Linked DNA regions of Danio rerio. The protein of the gene in region 1 interacts with the protein of each later gene in a pairwise test. Links are inferred from orthologs where the notes say so. Each region holds a gene or a part of one and is shown on either strand. Other genes may lie near its edges. The genes, in order: rtn3 and ptpn9a.

Evidence for each region.
Region 2: the proteins of rtn3 (region 1) and ptpn9a interact in binary tests that used the Homo sapiens proteins (3 or more experiments, as listed by UniProt). The two-hybrid records come from large-scale screens. The link is inferred for Danio rerio from reciprocal best matches to the Homo sapiens genes RTN3 and PTPN9.

What each region holds. Positions count from the first base shown.
Region 1 is NC_133182.1:17,715,808-17,719,635, forward strand, and holds part of rtn3 (reticulon-3), read left to right. Parts: intron 1-1,839; coding exon 1,840-1,978; intron 1,979-2,103; coding exon 2,104-2,173; intron 2,174-2,275; coding exon 2,276-2,322; intron 2,323-3,828. UniProt on the Homo sapiens protein: May be involved in membrane trafficking in the early secretory pathway. Inhibits BACE1 activity and amyloid precursor protein processing. May induce caspase-8 cascade and apoptosis.
Region 2 is NC_133200.1:7,155,294-7,159,857, forward strand, and holds the start of ptpn9a (tyrosine-protein phosphatase non-receptor type 9), read right to left. Parts: upstream 2,858-4,564; 5' UTR 2,360-2,857; coding exon 2,324-2,359; intron 1-2,323. UniProt on the Homo sapiens protein: Protein-tyrosine phosphatase that could participate in the transfer of hydrophobic ligands or in functions of the Golgi apparatus.

The DNA.
Region 1 (3,828 bases):
TGCACTGCTCTCTGGGGTTTTGTGCTCAAAGCAACCGCTGACTGCTGGAGCTCAGACGCGCGCATACACTGCAGCTCATGCCAGAGTGTGTGTGTGGTCACGTGATGTGCGTTTTCAGCGGTATAGTGTGGACCGAGATCTGTTCAGAAAAGCTAGGCGATCGTTTTTGTTGTAAAATGGCATTTTAAAAGACGTATTAGTGTAAACGGCGTCTTAAGTGTGTGTTGTCACTTGTGGTTTGCTGCTGTGACGGGGGTGAGGTGGAGGATTGCGATGCAGGCTTAGCATCGTGATGTCTATTGGCCATCAGCGATGGACAATAGCATCATCTATCGACCCACCCCTACTGTGAACTGACATAAAGAAAAATAGTATTTTAATTAATTAACTAACATTTAAATGCGGTTACAAGTTTTGGTTGTTGTTGGTTCTTGTTAGCTATTGCTAACTAATGTCAGGCTAATAGTAATGAATTGGACCCCATGTAGAGGGTGTTCATGGATCTATAAAATTTCTCAAATTCCATAATATAAAAATAAGATCCGTGTTTCAAAGGTCTTAATGCAGTCGAACCAACCCTGTAGAGAAGATTTTATTTCCGTTTTGAAATCTACTTTAATCTCTACGTCTATCATCACATGGGCAGAACCAAATTCCATGTGGTACCCCAAAAAAAAAAAAAAACACGCATATAGGGACTACGCTTGTGTATTTAATGTTTGCTGGGATTTTGCTTGTGTAAACAGAGTTCTTGGGGATTTCACTTTATAATAGCTTTTAACAGGGGTCACCAATCTCGGTCCAGGAAGGCCGGTGTCCCTGCAGGTTTTAGCTCTAACTTGCCTCAATACACCTGCCTGGGTGTTTTAAGTATATCTAGTAAGACCTTGATTAGCTTGTTCAGGTGTGTTTGATTAGGGTTGGAGCTAAAATCTGCAGGACACCGGCCCTCCAGGAACAAGTTTGGTGACCCCTGGATTATAACATCTGCGTCAACCCCAAACATTAACAAATGAAGAACTGGAGAAGCATCTTTTGATGAAAATGTAATTTAAGCCATATTAAACTCTTTTATTATTATTATTATTATTATTATTATTATTTCAAGCTATTTTTAAAATGATTGCTTGTGATTAAATTATGGTAAACATCATTCTTAATCGTTTACAAGATCAAACAATTTAATTTTGAAATAATAAATAATAAAAATCTATACATATAAAATATTGTTATGTTTCATTTAATAATAGGCATACATTATTGACATTGGAAAATTGTGTTAATGCAGTTTTTGGGAACTGATATAAAATTTTATTATGATTTTTAAAATTACTATTAATAATATTGTTTTGAGGTTTTTACACGTTACATGTGTAATTAACAGAGTTAAAGGTTGTCATAAGTTGTGTTGCAGGCTTTTTTTTTTGTGCAAATTTTGGTATATAAAATTAGTGTGAAATATCATTCTGTCATATTAAAGATGTCTTAATCATAAACATAACTCTCAGAAATCTGCAGATACCCTTTTATAAAGTCTTAACTACTTAATTTTATTCGGCCTTCATACATATTGCATTACATTAAAATAATAAATGTGTATGCATACAATATTTTATATATATTAACATGCTTATGCTTGGTCTGCGTTTGTCTATGTTTATTAAGACCAAACACTAAACAGAAATAAATTATGTTTTATCTTAAGCATCTGTGTGGTGTGTGATGCGCTGTTCTGTGTTAATAATGGTAGATGTTGAGTGCAGTGGTGTTCAGAGGTGTGTGTATGTGTGTGAATGCACTGTCAGAGCTAATTGTCTTTGACCCGTGTTCCTGTAACAGGGCTCTGATGGACAAAGATGTCACAGTGCCACCCGAGACTTTCCGCAAGCACGTGGATGGGTGTCTGAGCCATGTCAACCGCGCGCTCAAGCAGATGAGCCGCCTCTTCCTGGTCGAGGATCTGGTGGATTCCCTCAAGGTCAGATTTATAGGAAGAACTCTGAGGATTTAGGTTATTCCAAATCTGTTATATTACAGTGTAGGTTTTTGTGTGAAAAGGAGAGGATTTCTGTTCAGTTGACTCATGTTTTCATCTGCTTTCAGCTGGCAGTTGTTATGTGGCTGCTGACGTATGTTGGTGCTGTTTTCAATGGCATCACCATCCTCATCCTCGGTAGGCTTTCACGTTTGGGTTTAAGTTAGTAAGATTGCACTTCCGAATAATAAAGAAGGATAATAATTGCCTCACACTGGGTGTTTCCTTTTTGTTTTTCAGCCGACATCCTGCTCTTCAGTGTACCGCCCATCTATGAGAAAAACAAGGTCAGATATATGTTTGTTTCTGAAACTCTGCACCATTTTTTGTTCGGGTTGGGGTGAAGGGCAGATAAGAGATTGAAAATTAAATAAATAACAATTTATTATTATTGAAAATAAAAATATAAATAATTCAGGATGAAGTTTGGGGTCAGTCCGGTCAAGTTTTATTGTCATTCCTCTACATGTGGACATAAAAATGGAATGAAATGTTGTGTCTCAGGGGACCACGGTGCTATATAAATAAACATAAACATAATCATAAATATAAGCACAACACTGGAAGAGTTATTTTTAAACCTATACATAACTAACATACCAGAGCGGTAATCTAATTATACATGTACTATACATATGCTATAAATATGAACTATTTATATACATAGATTACACATATACTGTATATATGTCAGCAGTGGCGTAGCGCAAAATGTGACTAATATGACTACTACTACAGGGTGTCCGCGGTGTCTTAATGGCTTAAATTCCCTGAAATAGTATTGTAAACGAGTCTTAATTTTCCTTTGTCTATTTAAAGCTACACAATCGTTACTATCAACAATTTAGCCATTTGGTTTAATTATCTTTCTTACAAGAACATTTGTGAATGTGTTTGGAAAATATGTTTTTACATTTTAATGCAAACACATATTAAGTAAAAAATATATAATTATGTAAGTGAAAATATTTTCCACTAGCCATTAGAAAAAAACCTCTCTTTTTCTAAAATTTCATTTATAATGGACTTGAAAAGGTCTTAAATGCTTTAATTTGTCTTGGTGAAACCTGCAGAAACACTGTACTAATGGTGTTGGTGATAATACTTACTTGAAATTTGAAGTACCAAGGCATTTGCTTTTTTGTGCATATTTTTGCATACTGCTTTGTTATTTTTTATATTATTATTATTAATAATATTATTAGCTGTATTTCAACTAAGTAGTATTAGTTGTTGTACTCGTAGCAGTAGTGGTTGTCATAGTAATTGTCGTAATAGTAGTCGTAATAATCAGCCGTAGTAGTAGTCGTTATAGTTGTAGTCGTCATCGTTGTCATAGTAGTCTTCGACATTGTAGTCATAATAGTCGTAGTAGTGGTCATAGTTGTAGTAGTCATCATAGTCATAGTAGTCATCATAGTAGTAGTAGTAGTAATCTTCATAGTTGTGGTCGTCATAGTCATTATAGTAGTCGTAGTAGTAGTCGTCATAGTCGTAGCAGTTGTTGTCATAGTCCTAGTCATTACAGTAGTAGTCACCATAGTCGTCATACTAGTCGTCGTAGTAGTAGTTGTGATAATAGTAGTCAGCATAGTTGTTGTAGTAATCATCGTCACAGTCGTAGCAGTTGTCATCATAGTCCTAGTCGTCATTGTAGTAGTCGCCCTAGTCATCATCGTAGTTGTCATGGTAGTAGTTGTCATAGTAGTAGTCATAATAGTCGTAGTAGTATTCATCATAGTCTAAGTCGTCATAGTAGTAGTAGTCGTTATAGTAAAAGTCGTTGTAGTAGT
Region 2 (4,564 bases), on another chromosome or scaffold:
AACTGCATTACTTAAATTTTATGTAAAAAAACAGGCATTCTCAGACCTCCATAACAGTGATGAGTAAATTAAAGACGATTAAGGTTGTCAGTCTTAAGTTAAAATATGTACATTGAGAGTTTATAGGCAGGGTACGAATTACAGTATTAATTAATGCTTAATGCAAGATCAGCCCTGAATGTCAACAGCCTTTCAATAGTGAGAAATTGTTTTCATATCTCTAAATATCTGTATCTTAAATAATTAAATTATTAATTAATATAATAGACAATATAAATATACATTTGACCACCCCTATAACGGTTCAAACCATTATGAATGCATAATCACACCAAATCATTTTAAGTGAGAACAAATTCGCTCAACAGTCTGAAAGTGGCAGATCTAAAGCCCTGATAGACACCATATGTGTTCACAAGACACTTTTCTTGTAAAATACGAGCTTTTATTTACATATAGCCTGAAAGTAAAGTCAAATTAGGCGCATAGTTTGACCTACAGTAACCTCTAAAATAGCTGATCAGAGGTTACTGTAGGTCAGAGTACACTAATTCCCTCAAAACACTAAAAACTTAAATATTCATTCATTCATTTTCTTTTCAGCTTAGTCCCTTTATTAATCCGGGGTCGCCACAACAAAATGAACCGCCTAAAACTTGAATAATTTATTAATAAATCTGATGTAATTTTAAAAATACAAAGATTTATTGCAATAAAATATGTATTACACAAGCTAACATTATCGAAAATGTTTCATAAAAAGTTGAAGTTAAGAATAGTTTCAATTCAGGATTGAAATAGCTATTGAAATGCAAGTTTTAGGCTCTTACTTTTGCTCTCAATGCTGACTTTATTAGTCCTGACTTAATTTATCACCATTCAGACTTTGTTTCTTGCAGTTCTGTGTGTATATGTGTCCCAATTCCAAGTTCATATCTTGCACTTCTGAGTTTGCATCTCACAACTCGAACTTGATTTCTCAGAAACCCTGGATTTATTTGTAACAATCCTGAGTCTGCATCTGGTAGACCGCAAATCAGACTTTTTATGTCGAACCTTCAAGATACACAGTTCTGAGAAAGTCACAAGCCACAGTTCTGAGAGAAATGCCAAAGTTGCAATAGATGTTTGCTCACAAATGCAAATCTACATTTATATCTTTGAATCATAAGGGCCAGACGGAATCTGCGGACATTTTTTGCTATCTCTGCGCAGAATTTTGGTAAAGATCTGCGGATTTATGATGAATGATTTTGAGAGTATAACTAAAACCTTAATATATGAATACATTTTTAACTTTTATTTAATGTTTACAATGCAGTTCCAATTAGATCCTCTTTATTTGGTGAACAAAACAATTCTTTCATATAATATCTCTACTAAAAGACAGAACATATTACTTTACACACTGTATTGTAAACAAATTATTTGAATATTTTCATTTTAGTCAATAAAATTACTGAAACTAATTTAAAAACTGAATAAATATAAGTTTACACACATTTACACAAGTGAATGAACAGAATCAATTATGGGATAAAAATCTGTGCGCGCAGATTTATTTTATTTTTCAAAGTATGCATATTTCAAAATGTATTTCAATATGCTTAAATTACTGACAACACTATTTACATTCAGGATTATTGAAATCTTTGTTGTTAAATATGTTATAATTATTAAAGAGATAGTCCACCCAAAAATGAAAATGTCCTCATCATTTACTCATACTCAAGTGATTCTGTCAAACACAAAAGAAGATATTCTGATGAATGTTGGAAGAAACTATGAAAAATTTTGGAACAAGTGGAGGATGAGTAAAGCATAACAGTTTTCCTTTTTTGGCGAACTGTCAACCAACTTTTATTTAATAGTGTAAAATAAAAAGGATAGTACACCTAAAAATTACAATTCTGTCATCATTTACTCAACCATTTTTGTTAAAATATAAAAGAAGATATTCTGAAGAAAGCTGGAAACCTGTAACCATTAACTTCCATTGTATTTGTTTTTCAGCCAAGACCGTTAATAATTAGAGGTTATCAACTTTCTTCAAAATATCTCCTTTTGAGTTCAACAGAATCAAGTATCTCAAAAAGACTTGACACCACTTGAGGGACAGTAAATAGCCACTACATTTACATTTTTAGGACAATTATATGGAATCAAATATGACCCACAGGCTAAAATTCTACCTTTTACTCTGTTTACCGTGGTAAAACCCAAACAGGGTGTCTCTAGTCAAATGGTCAGTCCCGGGTTGCTTAGCAACAGAACCGCTGGACCAGAGAATCAATGTGAACCGGATTGTGATGGTATTTGATACCTGCTCCTCCTCAGCGCTCAGGCGGTCGGCCATCATCCACTCTCCGGCGCTCTGCACCGCTGGAGGACCTTCCTGGAGCTCGGACAGCTGTTCAACCGGACTGCAGAGATCACACCGGGCTCTTTTAGGCCCGTTAGCAGTGTTCAGGCTAACAACAGAAGCAGGACTCGCGCCGTTTTTCAGCTCGACAGAGAGCGCGCGCGGCCGCCACTTCAGCACGGCACGAGCGGCGCGTTCATGATTCGCTCCGGGTTTTTACAGTCTATGATATATTGTATTTACACACATAAACACTAATGGCTTTCCAGCGGAGCTTCGGTCCGTCCGCCTGCGTGACGAAGGGAGAATTTCATCACGGTGCTCTGTTGAATCTCGTCGAAGGCTTGTTAGATTGTTTGGAGATGTGTAATAATCTTAAACGACCAGTTCCGCGTCATTCGGCCGCCGATTAAAGAAGTGATAACGTGAGAACGCGAATGAAGATCGGACGCTCCTGAAAAGAAGCAGTGAAAGATGAAAGATGACGCTCCCCCTGTTGGACAAAATGGAGAACTGCAGGCTGAACCACGCTCCTCCTCTCCATTCATAAAAACCTCTGGAGGCCGAGTCAATGCAGTGTATCGGTTCGTTTGAACGGCACTTTTAAGTAACTTGTTTACTAGTTAAAGGCGTTCCTAGTTCGCAGTTCCTATGCGGCAAGTTATGTCATTTTTATGATCACTTCTCATCCATATACTGTCGTATTAGCTGTAATGAGTGTATAAATCAAACGATTCCTTGTTATGATTCCAAGTGAGCCGAGTGATTTGTGAATCGCAGAAATATTACAGGAATGATTCATTCGAGACTCGAACGTCATTCACACAAATGAACACATTTACTTAGTTATGTAAATTACTTTAATATTTTCTAGGTTCATATCTAGTGTGTGTGATTACAGACAAACTAGCGCATAAGTTTACTTTACTATATTCAATTTAATTAATTGGAGTCTAATTACATTTCGTTCATACTTTAAATAAATAATATTGTGATTTACTTGTTTGATAATTGGTCAAAAATATCAAAAATCCTAATTTGTTGCGATTTAAAATAAAAGTACACTAGCCAAATACTGATTTATTTACTCATAAGATGTTAAACTTTGGTATTGTTTCGAGGGGTCTGGATGCAGTCCTGGTGCAGTGCAATCTGAGCTGCATCCAATGCTTTTTAATGGGCTTACCTAACCCCACCCCTAACCCTACCCATCACAGTGGAATCCCTCACTCCATTTGAGTGCATTGTGTCTGACATTGCATCGCTAAGTGATGCAATCTCAGCTTGCATCATAAAGGCTGCATCCAGATATAATTGATTGTTTCTCTAAAAATTAATCTAACATTGTCTAAAACTTTTTTATTTTATCTTATGCTAAACAAAATGTAATATTTATTTTATATTTGGAAGAAAATTAATTAGTAGTTTTACAGAACCTCTTAAGTATCTATATTTAATGTCAGTTCTGTTAAATGAAAGTTTCCATCTAGCATTTATGTTTAAGGCGAATTAAAGTCTCAGTGAGCTGACGCAAGAAAACATGCCAAGAAACCGAGCCGATAAAAACAAAGAGCTTCCTGTGGGCGTGTTTCCGGAATGACTGACAGGAGATCGTGATGACATCATGCTGGAAAAGCGCTCACAAGTGCTTTCGCTTTCACTCATAGCCTTAATCTACACATAAAAAGCATGTCGTGCGAATAGCCTCGGCTGCTGACGTTTTTTATTGGTTGACAGGCTTTACTCGGTGCTTTTAGAGCCGAGCTGCTCATGAGGGGATCCGGGAAGGCTGATCTGGGTTGACAGGTGCCGTGGGTTCCTGGAAAGCAGAGACTGACTAATAACCAAACTCTCCGATTACGCTTTGGTTTTTCTGTGAGGAAACGACCTTGTGGTTTCAGATCAACAATAGCTCCATCACTGTGACCTCTTGCACAGTTTGTCTTGCTAAAAAAAAACGTGGTGTTTTGACATTCAGGCTGAGGAGATTTTGATGAGGCCAGCATTTCATATGTAAAGCACAACTCGGTTCTAGAAACTAAACATCATTTAGATCAACACACAATCACACGTTGGGGTACATTGGTTTCATATTCGCATAATCGTTGAGTGAGAACTTCTGACACACTCTATATTGTTTACCATGGTACTTACGGTCTGAAATCTTTGAAAGCCCGTTTCCGCCACTGAATTAAAAAAAAT